2 linked regions of the Elephas maximus indicus genome follow. The protein of the gene in region 2 interacts with the protein of the main gene of each other region in a biochemical or structural test. Links are inferred from orthologs where the notes say so. Each region holds a gene or a part of one and is shown on either strand. Other genes may lie near its edges. The genes, in order: ENC1 and NFE2L2.

What was found.
Region 1: the proteins of NFE2L2 (region 2) and ENC1 form a complex in vitro, tested with the Homo sapiens proteins (2 studies listed by BioGRID). The link is inferred for Elephas maximus indicus from reciprocal best matches to the Homo sapiens genes NFE2L2 and ENC1.

What each region holds. Positions count from the first base shown.
Region 1 is NC_064820.1:79,159,986-79,170,138, forward strand, and holds the start of ENC1 (ectoderm-neural cortex protein 1), read right to left. Parts: upstream 4,271-10,153; 5' UTR 4,203-4,270; intron 3,826-4,202; exon of another isoform or gene 3,147-3,825; intron 1-3,146. UniProt on the Homo sapiens protein: Actin-binding protein involved in the regulation of neuronal process formation and in differentiation of neural crest cells.
Region 2 is NC_064824.1:75,430,087-75,440,135, forward strand, and holds the start of NFE2L2 (nuclear factor erythroid 2-related factor 2), read right to left. Parts: upstream 4,112-10,049; 5' UTR 3,563-4,111; coding exon 3,518-3,562; intron 3,512-3,517; exon of another isoform or gene 2,694-3,511; intron 2,688-2,693; exon of another isoform or gene 2,355-2,687; intron 1-2,354.

The sequences.
Region 1 (10,153 bases), on a different chromosome or scaffold from region 2:
CCCTGTGCAACATAAAGCTGTGTGTCAAACAAACACCTACTAATTAATTCCATTAAGAATTCCTTTGGTAAGAGTCCGTCTCCCTGGGTGTTCAGTAAATGGGAAATGTCAGATTAAAATCATAGGCTGAGGCTACTTTTCCAACAATCAGACCTTTCTGTAAATGTTATAGATCATTTCTAACTCCACAGCTTTACCACTATGGAGTTCTAGAACGCAAACATTACCATATATTGGTCAGCAGGCTTTAGTGATAACCACAGGATGGATGGTGGCCCAATCACCACCACTCTTTCTTGCTCTGGACAGCTTCTAAAACGAGGCTGTGGGCACACAAAAAAAAGCAAGAATGTTTTGAGTAGCATACTAATGGATGCCATTTCTCTGTTCTTCCTGCTTTATTTCAATTCTTCGAAAACCAGTTGCAAGAACAAAGGAGCTATCCACCCCTCTCTTTTGCTTAAATGGTCCACTGCCTGGACTGTTCTCGTATATCTGCAAATGCTGGTACCTGTGTATGAGGAGTTCAAAGCTCAAACACTGCTTTACTAAAGTTAAAAAATATATACGCATACACACATATGTATATATACACGTGTATGCATAATATACTTGGCCTACTACATTTGTTAAATTAGGGCCACCCCTGAATTTTCTGACTAAAATGCTTTCTTCAATAAATAAAATGAAATTATACCAAAATCTAGTGCTATTTTTTTATTTTCTTCGGTAAAGAAACTACAAGGTAAAAATACAGGAAATGTTACCCTTACCTTTCCCTATTGTTTATCTTCAAAAACTGAACCTCAGGTCCTTTTTACACTACCCCTCTGTTACTCCAAAGGAATAAAGCCCTCAAAAGCCAGCCTGTCAAGTAAGTTGTTTATCCCAGAAGTGGAAACTACATGGATACAGTATCTGTTCCAATCCCAGAACAGCCAGTCCTCATAACCGAGCTGAAACTGATGGCCTCAGTGTTTCCTTTAGCATCCGGATATGTATTATTTGATTTATATTCTAGACATGTTAATAAACACAACTGAGTGATTAACCACAAATTCTTGCGCTAAGATACCAAACTGCACTTCTCTTGATCAGCCTTGGCAGACACAGAAAATAACAAAGCTGAGTGCTTTACATGGCTCTGACACACTGCCACATAACATTAGGTGATACAGCTTGTTTACTTTAATTTTTAGAATGTAACTTCTCATTATGAGTAAACACAGCTTACTGCAAGAAGGCAAACAAGAAAGTCCTCCAGCTCTGGCATTTGGAAAGCTTTACAAAGCACCCCGGTATGCTTGAGTCTCTCCACAGTGACTTGGGATATGAAAAATGGTTAGGAATCAAACATGGTCCCCATCTCAAACTAAGCCTCCACTGCCAAGTTCATTTCAATCCATGATCAATATTCCAGTGAATGACCTGTACAAACCGAAGTGAATGTACCAGGCTTCCAAAGAGTTAAGACATGTATTAGCATCCCTCATGTTCCATCACTGTAGCTGTCATTTTAATTAATGCATCCAGTAGTATGTTCTTTGAGAAAGGTTTCAAGGCTAAACCTCAAAAGACTGTATAAATACTCCAATGCCCAACACAGAAACTTAACAAAACCTTGAAATGAGTAGCTATGCAAGTTTGGTGTTTCCAAGCAACCTCAAAAGCTGCATCCTGTTAGGCTAATAGTAAATGTAGCTCTGGTGGAAGAACGGGGCTCTGCTGCAACCAGGTGCGCAAGTACCAAAGTGCTTGCGCATTGAGCTAGCATCACCCTGCCGCCCAGGACACATTTGACTTGGGGCAGAAGAAAGCAGCATTCACAACCAGACCTACGCTTAAGAAAATGTTTGTTTAGAAGACTTTAGGAATAGGAATAGAAACTATCTGCATCTCTCTGCATTTTCCAGATTGGCACATAAAGCCAGAAGGAAGGACCTAGCCTGTCATCTTGGATACCATCCAGACAGAAACCGTGCCACAATTGAAATCTAACATTCTTGCAGTGATGTTTGATTAAAATAAAAGGTAAACTTAGAGACCCATGGAAAACGACTTGCTTTCAAATCGCGCAAACATCAAAACATCAGCAGAGACCATTTACGCAGTCACTAAAAAAATGAATCATCCTCTGGCATTTTTTAAGCCCCCAGAGAAATAATATTTGCATGCCAAGTAAGTGGCTGAGAAAATGCACACGTATACTTAACGTGTGACTACAAAGAAGACCCTGAAAAAGGCTATTACCGTCGACATCAAAAGTGTGCCTAGTTACAGTAACTTCAGTTCACTTAACGCTCCTTACACACGCCCTCTGCCTCCAATACTTAAGCATCCCATCGCGTCCCTTCAATATTCACTCTGATCTCAATTCGAAGAAGAAACTCGACAGATTTTCTATGGCATTTACATCATTTACGACAATGGAACAATATTATAAGGATCTTAACAAGAAAAGCATTTTCCCATACAGTCCACTTGCAACATGCTGGCCATGCCTGCGAGGGCAACAGCAAATTACATGTCGAACAAGTTCAATGTTTCACCTCCACACCGCCCACCAATCACTATCCTTTGAAATTAATAGTGTTACACTACAGGCCAAATACTTGCATGAGAAGAAACTAGTTTTTCAGAACCAGGTTTCATCCACTACTTACAGACATTTCACCGCATGAACGTGCCCGTCCGTGGGGTGTGAGCGTAGCCCCAACCCTCCCTCGAGCCGGCTAGGGTGCAACGTGGGCCACGAAACCCAGAGCGCTCGGCCCTGGAGGCTGCGGGGAGCGAGGCAGAGCGACAAACACCCACAGGGAAGCGCTGCTTTCGGCGGAGCAAAGAAGCTGATCCTACACTGCCTGCGTTCCTCGTTCCCCCCGCAGCTTGCCCCGGCGCTGCGCTGCCAAAGGGAGCCCTGTCGGCCCCTCCGGCGATGCCCGGCTCCTGCTTCCTGTGGAAGGGCAGCGGCGTGCACCCAGGTCTCTGCACCAGCAAGGGCTTCCCCCAACACGCAGCTCGCGGCTCCTGGGCGCCCGCACACCCCATGCGAGCACGCCCCTCGCGAACACACCCCCGCAGCTCAAGCAGCCCCTGCAAAGCCCGCCGCTCCGGCAACAGGTCCGGAGCAGTGGGGAGAAACTTACAGCGGTGGCAGCTGGCCTCCGCGCACAGCCGGCTTGTTCTGGCCTCGGCGACCGGCGCAGGGAGGCGACGAAGTGGGCGTCTCAGACCCGGGGAGCGGCAGCGACTGCGGAAGGAGCGCGCATGGGGCGCCGGCCCGGTAGAGGACCGCTCTGGGGACGCTAGCTCGCGGGGCCGCCCACTGCTGGCGGTTCGCCTCGGCCTCGCGGTCCCCGCTCCACGGACCCTGTGCCCGCGACCCGCGACCCGCGAAGCGTCTCCCGGATCTTAACTCGGGAGGGTAGAGCGAGCTTGCGGCAGCAGCCGCCCGGAAAGGAAGCGGGCTGTGTGCTCTGGGGAGGGAGCTAGAAAGCGCCGTGCGCGCCGGCAGCCGCCTGGCGTCTGGGCTCGATCCCAGCGGCACCGCCGTGAGCCTACCGCTCTCTGGCTGCCCGAGCAGTCTGCGCCGGGCCGCCGTGCGCCCGGCTATAAACGCCGCGGGGGCAGCGGCGGCGGGGAGGGGAGAGAGGAGGGGAGAAGAAGGGAGGGAAAGGAGGGAGGGGGCGCGTATGCAAACAGAGTGACACCGGGGGAGGGGAGGAAGCGCATTAGCGGGGCAGGAGGAGGAGGAGGAGGAAAGGAGATGGGGAAGAGCGTGTCGGGGGAGTTAATCGAGAGAGGAAGTGGGGAGGGGGAAAGGGGGCTGCGTAGAAGTGGAGAAGACAAAGCGGACGCGGTGTCTCGGCCACTAGCAGCTGCAAACCCTCTGGGACGGCGAATAAACCAAGTTGTTTTGGGTCGGAGTGTCTGTGCCTCTCTGGGCCAGCCCGGTTAATGGCTAGCCCCAGAGCTGAGGGACTCAACGCAGGGGAGCGCAACCTGGGGCTGTGCGTTCAGCGCGGCCAGAGCCGGCGACCTACTCCAGAAAGGGTGATGAGGGGAGAACTGGGTGTCTGCGGCACGCGCCCTGGACGCGCACAGCCCACCCGTAGGGCACCCGGAGGAGGGACAGTGGCGAGGGAAGGGGCACAAGTTTGGACACTCCGGGGACACTGCAGGTTGGGTAAGACGGGACTTACGGTTTCTAGCTGGCAGGGGGCCAGACAGACTTGCGCCCCAGGCGTTTTACATGGGTCCTCCCTCCCCTCCCCCCTCGCGCCTCGCCCCCGGCGGGTGCAGCACCCGGAGCCGGACTCTGCCCCTACGCCGCCCCGGAGCACCAGCAGCCCCGGCATGGTCCCGTGGGACGCGCACCACGTGCTTCGCAGCCAATCGCCTTGGTCGCATGATTCAAAGCGATCTCCTCAAAGGAGTGGCCTCACCGCCTCTTTCCATGGCAATAATGCCTGAGTCCTCTCAGGCTGGATCTTTCCCATATTTTATTGCTCTGTGGTGTTACTCTGGAGTTCAGTACAAAAAAAAAAAAAGGCCCAGCACGCATGTTTAAAGCGCCGCCGGCCTGCCAAGAGGAAGGAAGGCAACTCAAAAATAATCTCGCTCGGCGATAACCATTTACGAATTCCATTTTTTATCTTTGCAGTTAGGACTCGTATTTCCACTGGGAGTTAAAACGCCTGTTTGCTTTTTCTTCAGTATTTGCAATAAAGCGTATGAATGAACCATAGAGATTACCGGTCCAACCCCCTCCTTTTACAGTTGAGGAAACTGAAGTCCAGGGAGATGTGAATTGCCTGGCTCCTGGCCACGCAGCAGTTTAGCAGTGGCCCAGCCCTGGAGCTCGAGTGAGGCTGCCGCATCGGAGTTTTCTCTGACCTGTATCCGAGCTTTCTTTAAAACTCTTGGTACAGAAATGGCTCAAACAGGCTAAGGAGGTCCCACTTGGCGCTACGAGGGTCCAGGGAGGGCTGAAACCAAGACTCTGACTCTTGTCAGTTTTTTATTCTAACCCCACTTTCCTCTACCCGCATTCCCTCCTGGTTTTTCCGTGCCGAGAGTTTCCCTCTTTGCAAACAAAGAAAGACAGTGCCCTCTGAAGTCCTTTGTTAGCATTAACTGGGCAGCATTCCTCAGGGCTTCCAGTCGGTTCAATCCGGTAGGAACCCCTACTGAGGATTTGTCTTTCCACCCAGATATACTGAATCAGAATCTACATTTTAACAAGAGCTCCAGGTGGTTCTTTTCTATGATAAATTTTGAGAAGCACGGCCGTACTACTCTTGGTTCTCAGAATTGGTCCCTAACCAGCAGCATTCGCATTACCTGGGAATTTGTTAGAAATGCAAATTCTCAACAGGGCCTTGAACTGGAACAAACCAGTTCAAAACCCTCACCTCACCAGAGGAGTCTTTACAAATCTGTGACATATTTCATATTTTTCTTGTACTGTGGGTGAAGGTTTATAGAACAAAGTAGTTCTCATTAAATAATGCACATATTGTTTTGTGACGTTGGTTGCCAACCTCACCACATGTCAACGCTTTCGCCTTCTGTACCTTGTGTTCCCCCTTACCGGCTTTCCTGTCCCCTCTTGCCTTCTAGTCTTTGCCGCTGCCCATTTAGTCTCGTTTTGTTTGTTTTATGGGTCTGTCTAATCTTTGGCTGAAGGGTGAACCTCAGAAGTGAGTTCATTACTCAGCGAAAGGAGTGTCCAGGGGCCATACTCTTGGGGATTTCTCCAGTTTCTGTTACACCAGTAAGTCTGGTCCTCTTTTTTTTTTTTTTTGGTGAGTTAGGATTTTGTTCTACATTTTTCCCCAGCTCTGTCCGGGACCCTCTATTGTGATCCCTGTCAGAGCAGTTGGTGGTGGTAGCTGGGCACCATCTAGTTGTGCTGGATTCAGTCTGGTGGAGGCTGTGGTAGATGTGGCCTGTTACATTTTCTTTATAAACTATGTTATGCCAGTTGAGCTAGATGTTCCCCAAGACCATGGTCCCCACAGCCCTCAGGCCAGTAATTCTGTCCCTCAGGGAGTTTGGATGTGTCTGTAAAGCTTCCATGCCCTTGCCTTGGTGAAGTTGTGCTGACTTCCCCATGTATTTCAATTTTTTAATGCAGAGTTTCGGCTCCCAACTGCTTAACAAAGCCAGAGTCGGCCCCCCTCAAGTCTTGGTGCGGTGGTTCTGGGGGCTGCTAGGCGAAGAGGACAGTGCCGCAAGCAGAGCTGTGTTCCTGCAGGAGACGGGAAAAATCAGCGAAGACCAAACGGGTAGAGACACTGTGCACACCAGGAATAGGTGCTGAAAAGATGGGAGGTGGAAATGTGTAGCTATTGCATGTATGTCCTTTTAAAACATGTTTCTGTAGCCTGTGGCCAGGTGTGGGGGAAACCTGATCAAGGCTGCCTCCTAGACATATATTGTCACTGTTTCCAGTCTAAAGCAAGCACTTTAGTTTTGAAGACCAAATGTTAATGTTTTTCACTGGGGAAATTTTCTGTTTAAGAGATTAACACTTTTCCTCATTATGGAAAAGTACTTCCTTTTTCCTTCAGTCAGTTCTACCTAGAAGTCTACCTAGGAGACCCTACCAAAATCTACCTGAAATATGTAAATAGCACAGTGAATTGATTGAGGACGTTGCTGCATGAAGCCACCTAGCTAGGAACAGATAAACTGTGTCTGTTGCATCTTTGTTGCTGTTGTCTGGTGCTGTCCTGTCGGTTCCGACTCACAGTGACCCTGTGTACAACAGAACCGAGATACTGCCCAGTCCTGAGCATCCTGACAATCCTTGTTATGTTTGAGCCCATTGTTGCAACCACTGTGTCAGTCCATCTCATTGAGGGTCTTTCTCTTTTTCTCTGACCCTCTACTTTACCTACCATGATGTCCTTCTCCAGGTACCAGTCCCTCTTGATAACCATGTACAAAGTAAGTGAGACAAAGTCTCACCATCCTCTCTTCTAAGGAGCATTCTGGCTGTACTTCTTCCAAGACAGATTTGTTCCTTCTTCTGGCAGTCCATGGTATATTCAATATTCTTCACCAACACCATATTTCAAAGGCATCAATTCTTCTTCAGTCGTCCTTATTCATTGCCTAGCTTTCACATGCATATGAGATGATTGAAAATACCATGGCTTGGGTCAGGCACACCTTAATCCTCAAAGTGATATCTTTGCTTTTTAACATTTTGTCTTAGACATCTAGTGCTGCTATAACAGAAATACCACAAATGGATGGCTTTAACAAAGAGAAGTTTATTCTCTCACAGTCCAGTAGGCTAGAAGTCCAAATTCAGGGCACCAGCTCCAAGGCAAGGCTTTCTGTCTCTGTCGGCTCTGGAGGAAGGTCCTTGTTATCAGTCTTCCCATGGTCTGGGAGCATCTCAGCACAGGAACCTCAGGTCCAAAGGATGTGTTCTGCTTCCGGCACTGCTTTCTTGGTGATATGGGTCCCCCTGTCTCTCTGCTTGCTTCTCTCTTTTACATCTCGAAAGAGATTGGCTTAAGACACTATCTAATCTTGTAGATCTTATCGATATAACTGCTGCTAATCCATCTTATTCCATCATAGTGATGGGATTTACAACGTATAGGGAGATCACATCAGATGATGAAATGGTAGATAATCATACAATACTAGGAATCATGACCTAGCCAATTTTGATACACATATTTTTGGTGGACACAATTCAATCCATGACACACTTTAAAGAGGGCTTTTGCAGCATATTTGCCCAATGCAATCTGTTCCTTGATTTCATGACTGCTGCTTTCATGGGCGTTGATTGTGGAGCCCAATAAAATGACATCCTTGACAATTTCAGTAGTTTCTCCATTTATCATGATGTTGCTTATTGGTCCATTTGTGAGGATTTTTTGTTTTCTTTTTATGGTGAGACGCAATCCATACTGAAGGCTGTATGGTCTTTGATCTTCATCAGTAAGTGCTTCAAGTCCTCTTCACTTTCAGCAAACAAGGTTGTGTCATCTGCATATCACAAGAAGCAAGGTTGTGTCATCTGCATACTGCAGGTTGTTAATTAGTGTTCCTCCAATCCTGATGCTGTTTTTTTTCATATAGTCCAGCTTCTCATATTATTTGCTCAGCATACAGATTGAATAAGTATGGTGAAAGGATACAGCCTTGACGCGCACCTTTTCTCATTTTAAACCACCCAGTATCGCCTTTTTCTGTTCAAACGAATGCCTCTAGGTCTATGTACAGGTTCCTCATGAGCACAGTTAAGTGTTCTGGAATTCTTTACCATCGTTACCACCTGGAAACTGCAGAACGTCCTTAACCGTGGGTCAATAAAGTTCATTGGTTTTGCGAAGAGCTTTGCTAAGCAGGCAGGGCTGAAAAAGGTACGAAGCTCTCTGGCCATGTGTCATCATCTACTGATTTCACTTTCTGGTGTCAGTTTGTCCTAATGTTGCCACATTTCTGTGATTTAAAAAAAAAAAAAAAAAAAAAAGCTGTAGCCTGGAAAATCTTGCAATATGTTCAGTGACCATACACATTTGCTTCATCTGCCACAGGGAGATAGTCAACACAAGGCAGGGGGAAAAACAGTTATGTAGGTTATAAAAACAGAAAACATACTCCTGCTGAAAGACATAGGAACTGAACTTGCATTTTTCAAAATGCCAGTCAGCTCCTACCTGCTGTACACTGGTTTGCTTGAACAAATACATGGAAAGTTTTGGGGCCTGTTGGCAGTTTCTAATGTTTATCTCACAGCTGAAAGTGATTTTCCAGTTAGCTTACTTATAACAACTTAAAATTTGTTCTCCCTACAGCATTTCTCAGCCAATCCCTAAAGGTAAGTCTTATGACCTTACTCCTGGAAAGAAAAGGTGAGCCAGTCTTTTAGCTGAGCAGGAGGAAATCTCTGGTTAGGCCTGTGATCCAGCCAGACAACAATAGACATAATGGATATCTGCATATTAGACAACTCAGGAAATTCAGCCACATCCACATTGTACAATGGCCACCACCTCACGACATAGGCCAGCCCCTTAGGCCTCTGGGAGTTGGTCTTCGGCTTTGCCTTGTGACACCAAACCAAGGTTTCATTTTTAACGCTGTTGAGGCTTCGGCCCTGTTATCTCCCTTAACAATGTTACTTTGTTAGGCTGCAAAATAAACAGCATGGGGTTAGATGTATTAGCTGCCTTCAAACCTAATTTATCTTCATTCCTTCCTAATTTACACTCGGGCTGAATTAATGAGAATGATTTAATTAACACGTGCACTTATGGTACCAGGGACAGGACAGATCGGAGGATTAGAACAAACTGTGGGCAGGGGCTCACAGCTGCCATCCTCCCTCCTGTGGTCCAGTGAAGCCCCACTGAAATTTCAGTCCTGTTCCCTGCCAGGACTCCAAAAGCATCCTCTACTTGTCTAATCTGTGAGGTGGCACAGTTTTCCTTTCTCCTGCTATTTGTGGGATGGGCTTCAAGGCTGGGCCCTATGGAGTTGGAGTGGAGATCAGTCATCCACCAGAGATTTGTGCTTCTCCTTCTGTGGTGTCAAGGTAGTGTTGGGAGGTAGACGCCCAGCCAGGAGCTGTGTCCCAGTCCGTTTAAGTTTTGAGATCAATACCTGTGGAAGGGAAGGGAGGGGAGCAGGATGGGCAGAGGGAGAAGTGGAGCTGGGATGCAGTCTTGGCCAAGGCCTCAGCAGACCCCGTGGGGAGCCCTGGAGCTGGGATGCCCTGCAGAGTTGTCCCAGTTGGGGCAAGAAGGCCAGGCCTTTATACTGCCACACATACCAGTTGCTGAATGCAGGCTGCTCCAGGAAGGGTGGCACTTTTCTTGGGAGGCAGTTCTGAAGAGGGTGATAGCTGAGTGCCTTCTGCCAGCAGTACCCCCAGCAGCTGGGGGAGTAAGTCCTTCATTCCCGGAGGGGGGCCTGGGGGTGCAGCTCAATGCTGACTTCAGTACGTCTGCACCCTAACACAGGTGTACAGACTGAGGAAAATGAGACCTCAGTTCCTGCCAGCAACATTCTTCTTTTCAAAAACAGGGAGAATTACCAAAAAAAAGAAAAAAAAAAAAAAACTTGGCTCTTTATTGAAGAGACAAAGACAATGAAAAAAAAGATAATCAATAGAAGAAGT
Region 2 (10,049 bases):
TTATCCACTTTTTAAGGCATGGTCAAGGAGTCACGGGGGTGCAGTGGTTGAACACTCAGTTGCTAACTGAAAGGTCCGTGGTTTGAACCCACCAGCAGCTCTGAGGGAGAAAAGACCTGGTGATCTAGTCCTATAAAGATTACAGCCTAGGAAACCCTACGGAGTAGTTCTACCCTGTTCTATAGGGTGGTCACTATGAGTCAGAATCTACTTGATGGCACACAACAAGGCACGGTCCAGTTCTGAAGTGATTAAGAGCCACAGGTGACAGACTGGAAACCCTGATAGTACAGTGGTTAAGAGCTACAGCTGTTAACCAAAAAGTTCGGCAGTTCAAATCCACCAGGTGCTCCTTGGAAACCTTAAAGAGCAGTTCTACTCTGTCCTATAGGGTTGCTATGAGTTGGAATCAACTCAACGGCAATGGGTTTTTGGTTTGGAGACAGACTGCCTACATTTAAATTCTACCTCTGCCACTCAATAAGCTGGGTCACTTTAAGCAGGCCTCTCTCCCTTTCTGTCTCTTTCCTCACCTGGAAATCTGAGATAACTGTATTCCCATGGAGTTACTGTGAACTTATGCATGAGAAGCAATTATCACACTGCCTGGCATCATGGTAATGCCCAATAACTTAACTATTATCATCTTAGTGCCAAATTCTTTCTGCACCCAAGAGTTTACACTGAAACGTTAACCGAGGTTCAAGAAGAAATTAAAGAAGTATTATTTATATTTATGCAATAAAAAAAAAATACCTTCTTTAAATATGTTTTTTCAGGACAGAGGAAATTCCTGGGGGGGGGGGGAATATGCTTGTAGACCACAGACAGTCCCTTTTCACATACATCTTTGTAAGTATAATTCATCCTGAATAAAAATAAATACTAGGAAAAGTAATGTATTGGACTTTCAACTATTCCTGGTAATCCTAAAGAAAGACGGGTTTTTTGTTTATTTTTTTCTCCCCTACATTGTTTAGAAGAACTCAAGTTTGCAAGAAAGAGTTTATAATGGCCTAAGTTATTTTTAATGCAGAAAGACTGAGTTATGCATTTATTCTCCTACATGCTGCTTGAACAATCTCAGAGATTTTTCACATATCTAAAAAGTCAAGTCGTTCTTTGCTTAACATTAATTCAGGAGATGAGAGGCCCGTTTTCTTCTTTGTGTTTGACTTTTAAAAATAGCCTTATTGGTCTAGTCCAAGATCAACTCCATCCCTCATCTACAAAAGTACTTCATTTCTCCAAGACACCCTTGAAAAGAGTAATGGATGGATCCTTCCTCTAATAGAGCTATATAATAGAGCTATAAGTCCTGTTAACACCTTCTCTCATACAGAGAGTGAAAGACTGCATCCCCACTATGACTTCACACCTGGAGTTTCTCTGACAAAAGGTCAGAATCCACTTTTGACTGTTTAAATCTTTCTGGACTACAAATTGTAATTTGTATGAATTTACTTCATAGCTATAGACATGAAATCCATTCTAAAATTTAACTCCATTTACTTTTCAGTCTTCAAATATGCAAACTGATTTATAATTACAAAGATGGAAAAGCAGTAATTTTATCAAACATAACTGAAAAATTCACTTTAAAGGGGAAAGCAGTACATGCGCTTTATGCACTTTCATATACGGAATGTTAAAGTTCACAATAAAGGAAAAAAATTTTAAAATAAGAGAGGACTTTAGACTACAATTCCTGAATTTAGGAAAACTAAAGTCCATTAGCTCATATATCCCTTGGACAAACAAGAGCTCCTACAGACTACTAATGAACAGCATCTAAATAGGAAGGATTTTACTTCTTCCTACTAGTGGGAACCTGGAGGATACAATCCCAATCAGTACTGGGGGAAGCTCAACACAAACAACTTAAAAAAAAAACAGCACAATGAATCATCGTCAACAACTTGAAAGCTTACATTAGATCTTCAGGGTCAGCCTAAAATTTCACATTTCCAAGCATAAACACATTTACTATTACTTTTTAATCATGTAACACATTTCCTTAAACCAAATATTTTTCTAAAAACCCAATTACACACACAAAAAATTCTGCAAATATAAATACGTATTCCTTTAAATTTTCCCACAAAGTTTAAAGAGAAACTTGTTTTCACTTTTACGACAATTTACAGAACTTGTGAGCAAAGCATTATGAAACACAAGTGTCCCTCCCTCTGCCCTTGCAAAAAAAAAAGGCAACATGCTAAGAAACTGAGGCAAATCCTCAAACAAAAAAGGAAAAATATGTAAGCACCCAAGGGGGAATAATAGCTGAAAGCAAATAACTGAATAGCAGCCTAAAAGCAGTAGAAATTCTAATCTACAGTCGAAACTCTTACCCTTGACAGCACAGAACAGAATATCCTGCCTTACACATTTTGGAATTGCAATTCTGAAACGCTAAATCCAAAGACAAAGCCGCTCTGGGGAAAATAACGATTGCGCAACAGATCAACAGCTCCAACTTGTCCCTTGGCCCCGGCGCGGCGAGGTTTGCACGCTATAAGCAGGAAAGGGCCAACCGAGGGCCGCCGTGACAACCAACCGGCCACTGTCACGGAGGCTGAGGCGGCCGAGGCCACGCACGCGGCGTGCAACACCGGGAGGCACCTCGTCCGGAAAGGGAAGCCCCGGGCGCCGCGCACTCCGACTTCAGTGTCCGCTGTCCTCTCTCCCACCTCCCTCGAGGGGCTGCAGGGTCCGGCCCAAGGTCCACGAGCCCCAACCTCTCCCTCGGCCCGGCAGCCGCACGTCGAGGCTCCAAGCACGACGGGCCGTCAGGACTTCCTCCCTCCCCCGGGGGCTGGGCTTTCTAGCTCAAGGCTGACCAAAGAGTGATTTCATGGATTGACAGCTGATTATTTCGTAACCGAGAACCCATAGACGGCCTGGTGGGGTCTGCAAGCCCCGCAAAGGCCCTCGGCGCGGAGGTCGCAGGACCCGGGGAGGGGCAGCGACAGAGGAGGGGCTCTGGAACGCAGCCCAGCGAAGACCTCAGCTCCCCCGAGAGCAGCCCCGTGACTAGGCACATTTTTGCCCGCTCCTTTTCCTAGGCGGGGGAACCGCGCAGCAGCGGAAGGGCCGGGTCGGACCGGCTCCGACTACGGCCGTCCGCCCCCTCCTGCTCTGCCGCCTCAGCGTCCCTCACACCCCGGGAGCCGGCTTGGGCTCCCCGGTGCCAGCTTCGGCGGCCGGGGTGCGGCCGGTGACGTTCTCTGCCCCACCCGCGCGGGGGCAGCTTAGAAACTCTCCCCACAGTGCCCCTCGGGGGCCGCGGGCTCGTAGTCGGTCTGGCCACCCGGCCTCGTCCCCACACCCATCCCGGCCCCTAGGGTCCCCGCTCCTCCTCTCCGCCGGCTCCAGCGCACGCGCAGCGGCTCCAGTCCGCGGCCGCTGCAGTTCCGACTCTGGCCACAGACTGGAGGAGGAGCGGGCCGCGGTCCCCTGACGACCCTGCCCCAGTCTTGGAGCCACCGCGGGTCTCGGAGGATCGGGACGGCACCTGCTGGGACGGTAGTTCCGGCGACGGCAGCTCCAGATCCATCATGTTGAGCTGGGGACTGTGCGCTAGGGCTCCCCGACGGCGGCCCTGTCCCGGCTGCCGAAGTGCGGACAGGGCGGCACTGGCAGCGGCTCCTCCCGGCTCCCCGGCACTCGCTGCTGGGCAACCCGACCGGAGTCGCCGGCGGTGCTCTTGCCCCGCTCCGCCTCCCGCCCTGCGAGGGCGGGGCAAGAGCACGGGCCCTTCCTTCCCCCGCTGGCCGCGCGAGCAGAGCCGCGGAAAATCCCCCACCTCCGCCCCGGCTGACGCAAGAAGCTTGCGGTCCGGGGGCGCGGAGGGCGGCGGACTGGGGGGCCCAGTGGGAGGCCGCAGGCGGGAAGGCGGGATGCAGAGAAGAGGGGTCCTTTAGCTTCGCGGTCCTCGCGCTCAACTGGCCTTCCCTCGCAAATAAAACCAGCGCCCTCCGCCCGACAGATAAAAGAGTTGTTTGCAGAGGGTCTTTCGGGTTCGGGCGCTTTGAGACAGTTTAAACACTTGGAACAAACACGCCCGGAGACTAGGCAAAGGCGCGGATATCGGAGGTGCGCCTCCCGGATCTGAAGTTGCAGAACCTTGTCCGGGCTTATCTCACTCACCGCTCAAGGGTGGCGCCACCCGGGGGCGGGAGCAACAGGCTTGGACCCACAGTGTGCACACCACAAACTGCCCTTTCGCCCTCGGTTCTCTTCCGGGCTGGGCCCAGTCGGCCCTTCCCAGGGGACATGGGAACCGCGCCGGGAACTCGTGCTCGCAGTCACCCTGAACGCCCTCCATTTACTCCCACGCGCTCGCACTCTCGCTGGGGTCACATCGCCAAGGTCAAATGGAGAGGTCTCATTTGTTCAGAATGGTCAATATTGTCCACCAAAAACTTTCTCTTCCCCAAAAGCTTTTTCTTCTCCCCAAAGCACACTCACCACACCACAGATGGCGTCCTTTGACTAAAACATGCCATAATCCGTAAAAGTTTTTCATTTATTCACGACATAGTTAAGGGGGGGGGCGGAGAACAAAGTTACAAAATGTATAGTAATGGGCCCGTTCTTTGAAAAAAAAGTGCCTAGGGGAAAAGCAAAAAGGAAGGATACCAAAATATTAATAGTTGCAGGATCATGAATGAATTTTACCTTCCTTTTTTATTTTAGGAGCCCTGGTGGCTAAGTGGTTAAGAGCTGGGCAGCTAACCAAAAGGTTGGCAGTTCTAATCCACCAGCCGCTCCTTGGAAACCCTGTGGGGCAGTTCTACCCTGTCCCAGAGGGTCACTATGAGTTGGAATCGACTGGTTTGCAACGGGTTAGGTTTTTTGTTTGTTTGTTTGGGGGGGAGGGTAGGGTTATTTTAAGTATGTTTTAAATCCACAATGAATATATATCATTTTTCCATTAGAAAACAATTATTTAAAAATCATTCCCTACAGAAAACTTCCAAGTTTTTAAAAACGGCAGTATTGTAAAGTCTTACAGGATTTAAAAGGAAATAGCGAAATTGTATTTTTTTTTTTTTCACTTAGGTATTAACAATAACTCTTTAACAAATCTGGTTTTCGGTTTCTAGCTTCTTGGAATTATTCAAAACCAGGTGAAGTGGTGCCACTGTGGTTTTACTATTTCATTCGAAAACCTCACCACAAAAAAAAAAAAAAAGGCCGACTATAGCACATCAAAGGAGCCCTGGTGGCACAGTGGTTAAGTGCTGGGCTGCTAACCAAAAGATGGGCAGTTAGAACCTACCAGCTGCCCTGCGGGAGAAAGATGTGGCAGTCTGCTTCCTTTAAAGATTACAGCCTTAGAAACCCTAGAGGGCAGTTCTGCTCTGTCCTATAGGATGGCTATGAGTCTGATTCTACTGGATGGCAACAGGTCTGGTTTTTTACAGCATGTCGATGCCAAATAAACTGTAAAGAACTGTTTTCTCTTAGTTGCATAATTTGACACTCACAGGATTTACCTGTAAATTAATATCTTCAAATACTTGAGATAAATGAAGCCTAAATTAATTAATTGTAGTTGAAGCAAGCTTCTTCAACCTAAATTAAACCCTTTCAGCGGTTATGTAAAAAGCCTGCAAAATGATCTGCACTTTGAAAAGAAGCTTAGGAAAAATTATTTACAAAGAACTGGACATGAAACATGAAGAGACATAACAATGAAATGAAATTTCTGCATCAAAGAAGGAGACAAGAGTGTATTGTTAACGATTCAAGTTACTTATTAAAACTACTACATTGGCGGAGGTAAACGATGAGTCCAGCAGGTGGGAGATAACAAAAATCATATATGACATGGTTGTTGCCCTCAAGGAATTTATGAAGTACTTGGTATTGTTAAGCAACAAAATTTCCATTGAGTTTAGACTGAATAGAAATAACGTTTACTTTTACAAAACTGCAATTTTCTGGGAGTGTATTGTTTCAGGTACCTGCAGAGTACATGTTTTCAAAGGGAGGAGAACAATATGATAACAGTCTGAACATGTTTAAGAAATATAAACACCAAGGGAAAGCTGTTCAGTGCAAGAAAAGGGAACCTCAATCTGAGATCACCCATATCAAAGAGTGTCTTTAAAGACACTAAAATGAGATAGATTGTCTTCATTTGAGCCTGGGCCCTTCCCTAAATTGCCTTGTCTCCCAAATTTATATATTATGCTATGGGGCACAGATGGGACACGTCGAGAAACTCCAGGGGAGCAGGAAAAAAGAGGTGCTGGTTATCTCCTCTGTTCAGGCTCCATAAAAACCCAGAAGCTCTTCTCACTGCCAACCTCTCCTAGCTTATTATTTTATTTTTTCCCCGATTGGTTTTAAATTTAACTGATCTTTGTACATTTCCATTGATGTCTGAATTCTTTACTGACTTTGGAAAGACAGACCTCCATATATGTTTGTGCCAGAATAGTACCTTGCTCCAAAACTCTCCTCGAGTAAGCTTTCTGTGTACACAAAATTTGGATAATGGTGATGCTTTAATCCATTTATTTTTACCTTCTTCTGCATGCTCTCATCTGCCAATTTGCAAAACCCTAGAAAGTAACAACTGTTTCAAAATCCTCCAACACTTACTTTGAGGTTTCTTCCCTCTTCTCTCTTTCCCTCAGCTATACTCAGTGTTTGAGTCAGAAAAAATATTCAGAATCTCTTGGGATTATAGTTGAAATTCTACTTTGTTCAGCTTAGTTGGAGCATAGGGGGTAGCTAGTTTCCAAAGACGGCACCCAGTAAACTGCCCCTCCTGATAGTGATGTGCTTGTGTAACCCCCCAGCCCCCAATGCTGAGTCATGGCTGGCCCTGTGACTTGCTTTACTTTATGGAAGGAGGCTGCAAGTAACACTGTGCCAGGCCCATGATTGAGCCTTAAGAAGGCCTGGTAGCTTTCAATTTTCCACTCTTGAAAGTCAGCCATCACGTAAGAGTTTGACTACCTTCATGAAGAGAGAGGCCACGGGAGAAGCCTTGGAGGATGAGATTCCAAGTGGAGAAAGGCCACACGAACCAAGGCACCATCTGGTGAATGAAGAAACCATCTTGGCCCTTCCAGACTATTTACTGGTAGTCAAGCTCCCAAAAAACTCCAACCTCAGCTGCTGTCTAACTGCAGCCACACAAGAGACTTCAAGCAAGACCTGGAAAAGACTGCCTGGCTGAAACCAGTCAATCGAAAGAATTGTGAGAAACTATAGCAAACTGTTTTCAGCTACTAAATATTAGGGTGGTTTGTTTCGCAGTAATAGATAAGCAAAACAGCATATACTGAATATCAAAGGCAGGTTTCTTCTGGCTGCTTTTTTGTTGGCTAAGTTTTTTTAACCATCACCAGGAGCACAAGTACAGAAACAGTGCTTCAGTAGATAAGGTAGAAGCTAACTGGCCTTCCTGGAAATGAGGACGGGAACTCTGTTGCCACATACAGAGTGAATAACTTCATCACACCAAGCTTCAGCTCCCATACCACTACATGTTGTTAGCTGCCATTGTATGGACTCTCCGACTCATGGCGACCCCACGCACAATGCAACAAAATGCTGCTTAGTCCTTCCTGTGCCATACCCATAATCAATTGCAGATCGGAATTTTGTGACCCATAGGGTTTTCATTGGCTAATTTTCAGAAGCAGATTGCCAAGTTTTGCTTCCTAGACTGTCTTAGTCTGGAAGCTCTGCTGAAACCTATTTGGCATGATAGCAACACACAGGCCTCTGACAGATAGGTAGTGGCTGTGCTTAAAGCGCACTGTCGAGACGAGAATTCTACCACGGAGCTACCACTCCTCCCTATGCCATTACTTAGATGATAAAAAATATTTTCTTTATCAAAATACAATTAAAGAACACAGACACTTCACCAATTAAGTAGATGGAGGTATAAATGCATATAGAGATTCTGGCCCTAGCGTGACCTCATTTATATCAGTTATGTCAGATGCTTGCTGAATATCTGCTCAGGGAGTTTGAACTTGAAGAGCGACCTGCCCAGCAGATAAACTGAACTCCCATTCAGCAGTGTTCAAAATAATTGGTGTATTAGTTTCAAAACACACCCATAACCCTGGTTCCTTGGTGTACACACCTCATTATGCAAACTACTGCTATGAAGAACTATATGTGTACAAAGCCAGTTTTAACCCTTGCGGTATTCTCCTCGTGGTAGAAATAGTGCCCAGCAGGAACAGCAATACAATGAGCAAAGGGGAAAAACAGAGATTTACAACAGCGGTTTTGAATTATGGGCTGTATGTCTATATAAATCTATATCTATATAAATACATAAACATAGGATAGAAAGACGGAAAGTAGGGGCTCTAAAATGTCAACCATAATTATTCTGATTATTTGCATTAGCAATGATTTTTATCTTGCTCATTTTTGCTGGTCTGTATTTTCCTAAATGAACATATATTACTTTTATAATAAGAGGGGGAAAAAGTGGGGGAGCCAGGGGTCAGGGAGGAGCCCTTGCTTTTCTCCATTTCATTTTCCAATTGAATTTTAACCACAAGCTTTGTAAATCTTTCCATTCTGTATTTACTTGACCTGAGTGAAGCCTGGAGAATTTCACCACACCTTTTTAATATGGTTGGGAGAACAGTCTGAAGATCCATTTCTCTTTCAATCCTCTGTATTTTCAAAGTTTCACTCAGCAGAATAGGAGCCCCCAGACGAAGACCGAATGTTAAGAGCACATCGTATAGCGACCTAAGAAATGCAGCTTCTAAGTGCTTGCAAAGAGGTCCATATATAACATTGCTGCGTGGGTTCAGAAAACCACTTATGCCTAGACCTGTGTCTGCAAGGCTGGTTACCAAATATTAATAATGGGGGGTGAGAGAGAAGATAATTTTCACTTTCATCTTTGTACTTTTTTTGTATTCACGTTTTTATGGCAAGCATTTTTACGATTGGAAAAAACAAACGAACTCTTCTCATTTTTGGACAAATAAAAGGTAGAATGCAGTGAATGGGAGAGCAGAGCATCCTCCTGGACAGGCCTTGCAGACAAAGTCTATATATAACACTCTCTGAGGCTGAAAGTAAAAAAGGGAGGTAAGACTTGGCAAGATAGTTGTCTTCTGACATTTGCTATTCTGCAGGCTCTCATTTTTCTCTCTGAGTAATATTTAGAAATAAAAGAAACCTTAGAGGTCTTCTGACCCAGAGATGACAAGTAGGCTTCACTTTGATTGCCAATTCTGATTGATAGTGGCTACCTACATACAATGCTTTGCTAAGATGTAGTCAGAAGCAGTTGCGCAGTTTGATACAAAAAGTTCAGTGATTGACTACCAATGCCTGCCCTGGGCCCAGAGCTATGGAAGTGATAGCATATATCATCAGTTGTTTTCCCTTCCTGATCTAGTCCAACCCTCTAATTTTATATTTGAGGAAACAGATAGGTAAAGTGGTTACAATGATCACAGAGCTAGTTATTGGCAGAACCAGGAATAGAGTTAACAGTTCCTGACTCCTGGTATTATGTTTTTCCCACACAGCAAATTGACTCAGGCTTTTAAACACAAATATAGCACTAAGCCAGACCTAAAGGTGCAAGTGTAAATTTTATTCACACAATAGCACATTATTTTTGGAGGGGATTAGTGATCTGGTCTATTAATGATAATTTTTGCGTGTATTTTGTAAACATCTTCTATAAATTAAGGTGATACAATTAGGCCCAATATCATAAATCAGAGAGCTACAAAACAATTAAGTGACTTGCTCAAAGCTTAAAAAAAATTATTATTTGAAAAAGGCCAATTCCAAAGTCTATGTTCAGTCCACTCTAGGTCAGGTCTCTGTAGAGTCCCCTGGCTTGTGCTGTATGTACTGAGAATACTCACAGCAAAGCTCCCTGAAGGTTACATTTTTCCACATTCTGTTTAATTAATTCCCCATAGAGAGAATGATAAAGTATTTCTCACTAGAGAGAAAACTTGCAAACAAATATGAGAACAAGATTTCTACATATAAGAACTTCAAGGTGTTAAAGAAGCATTATT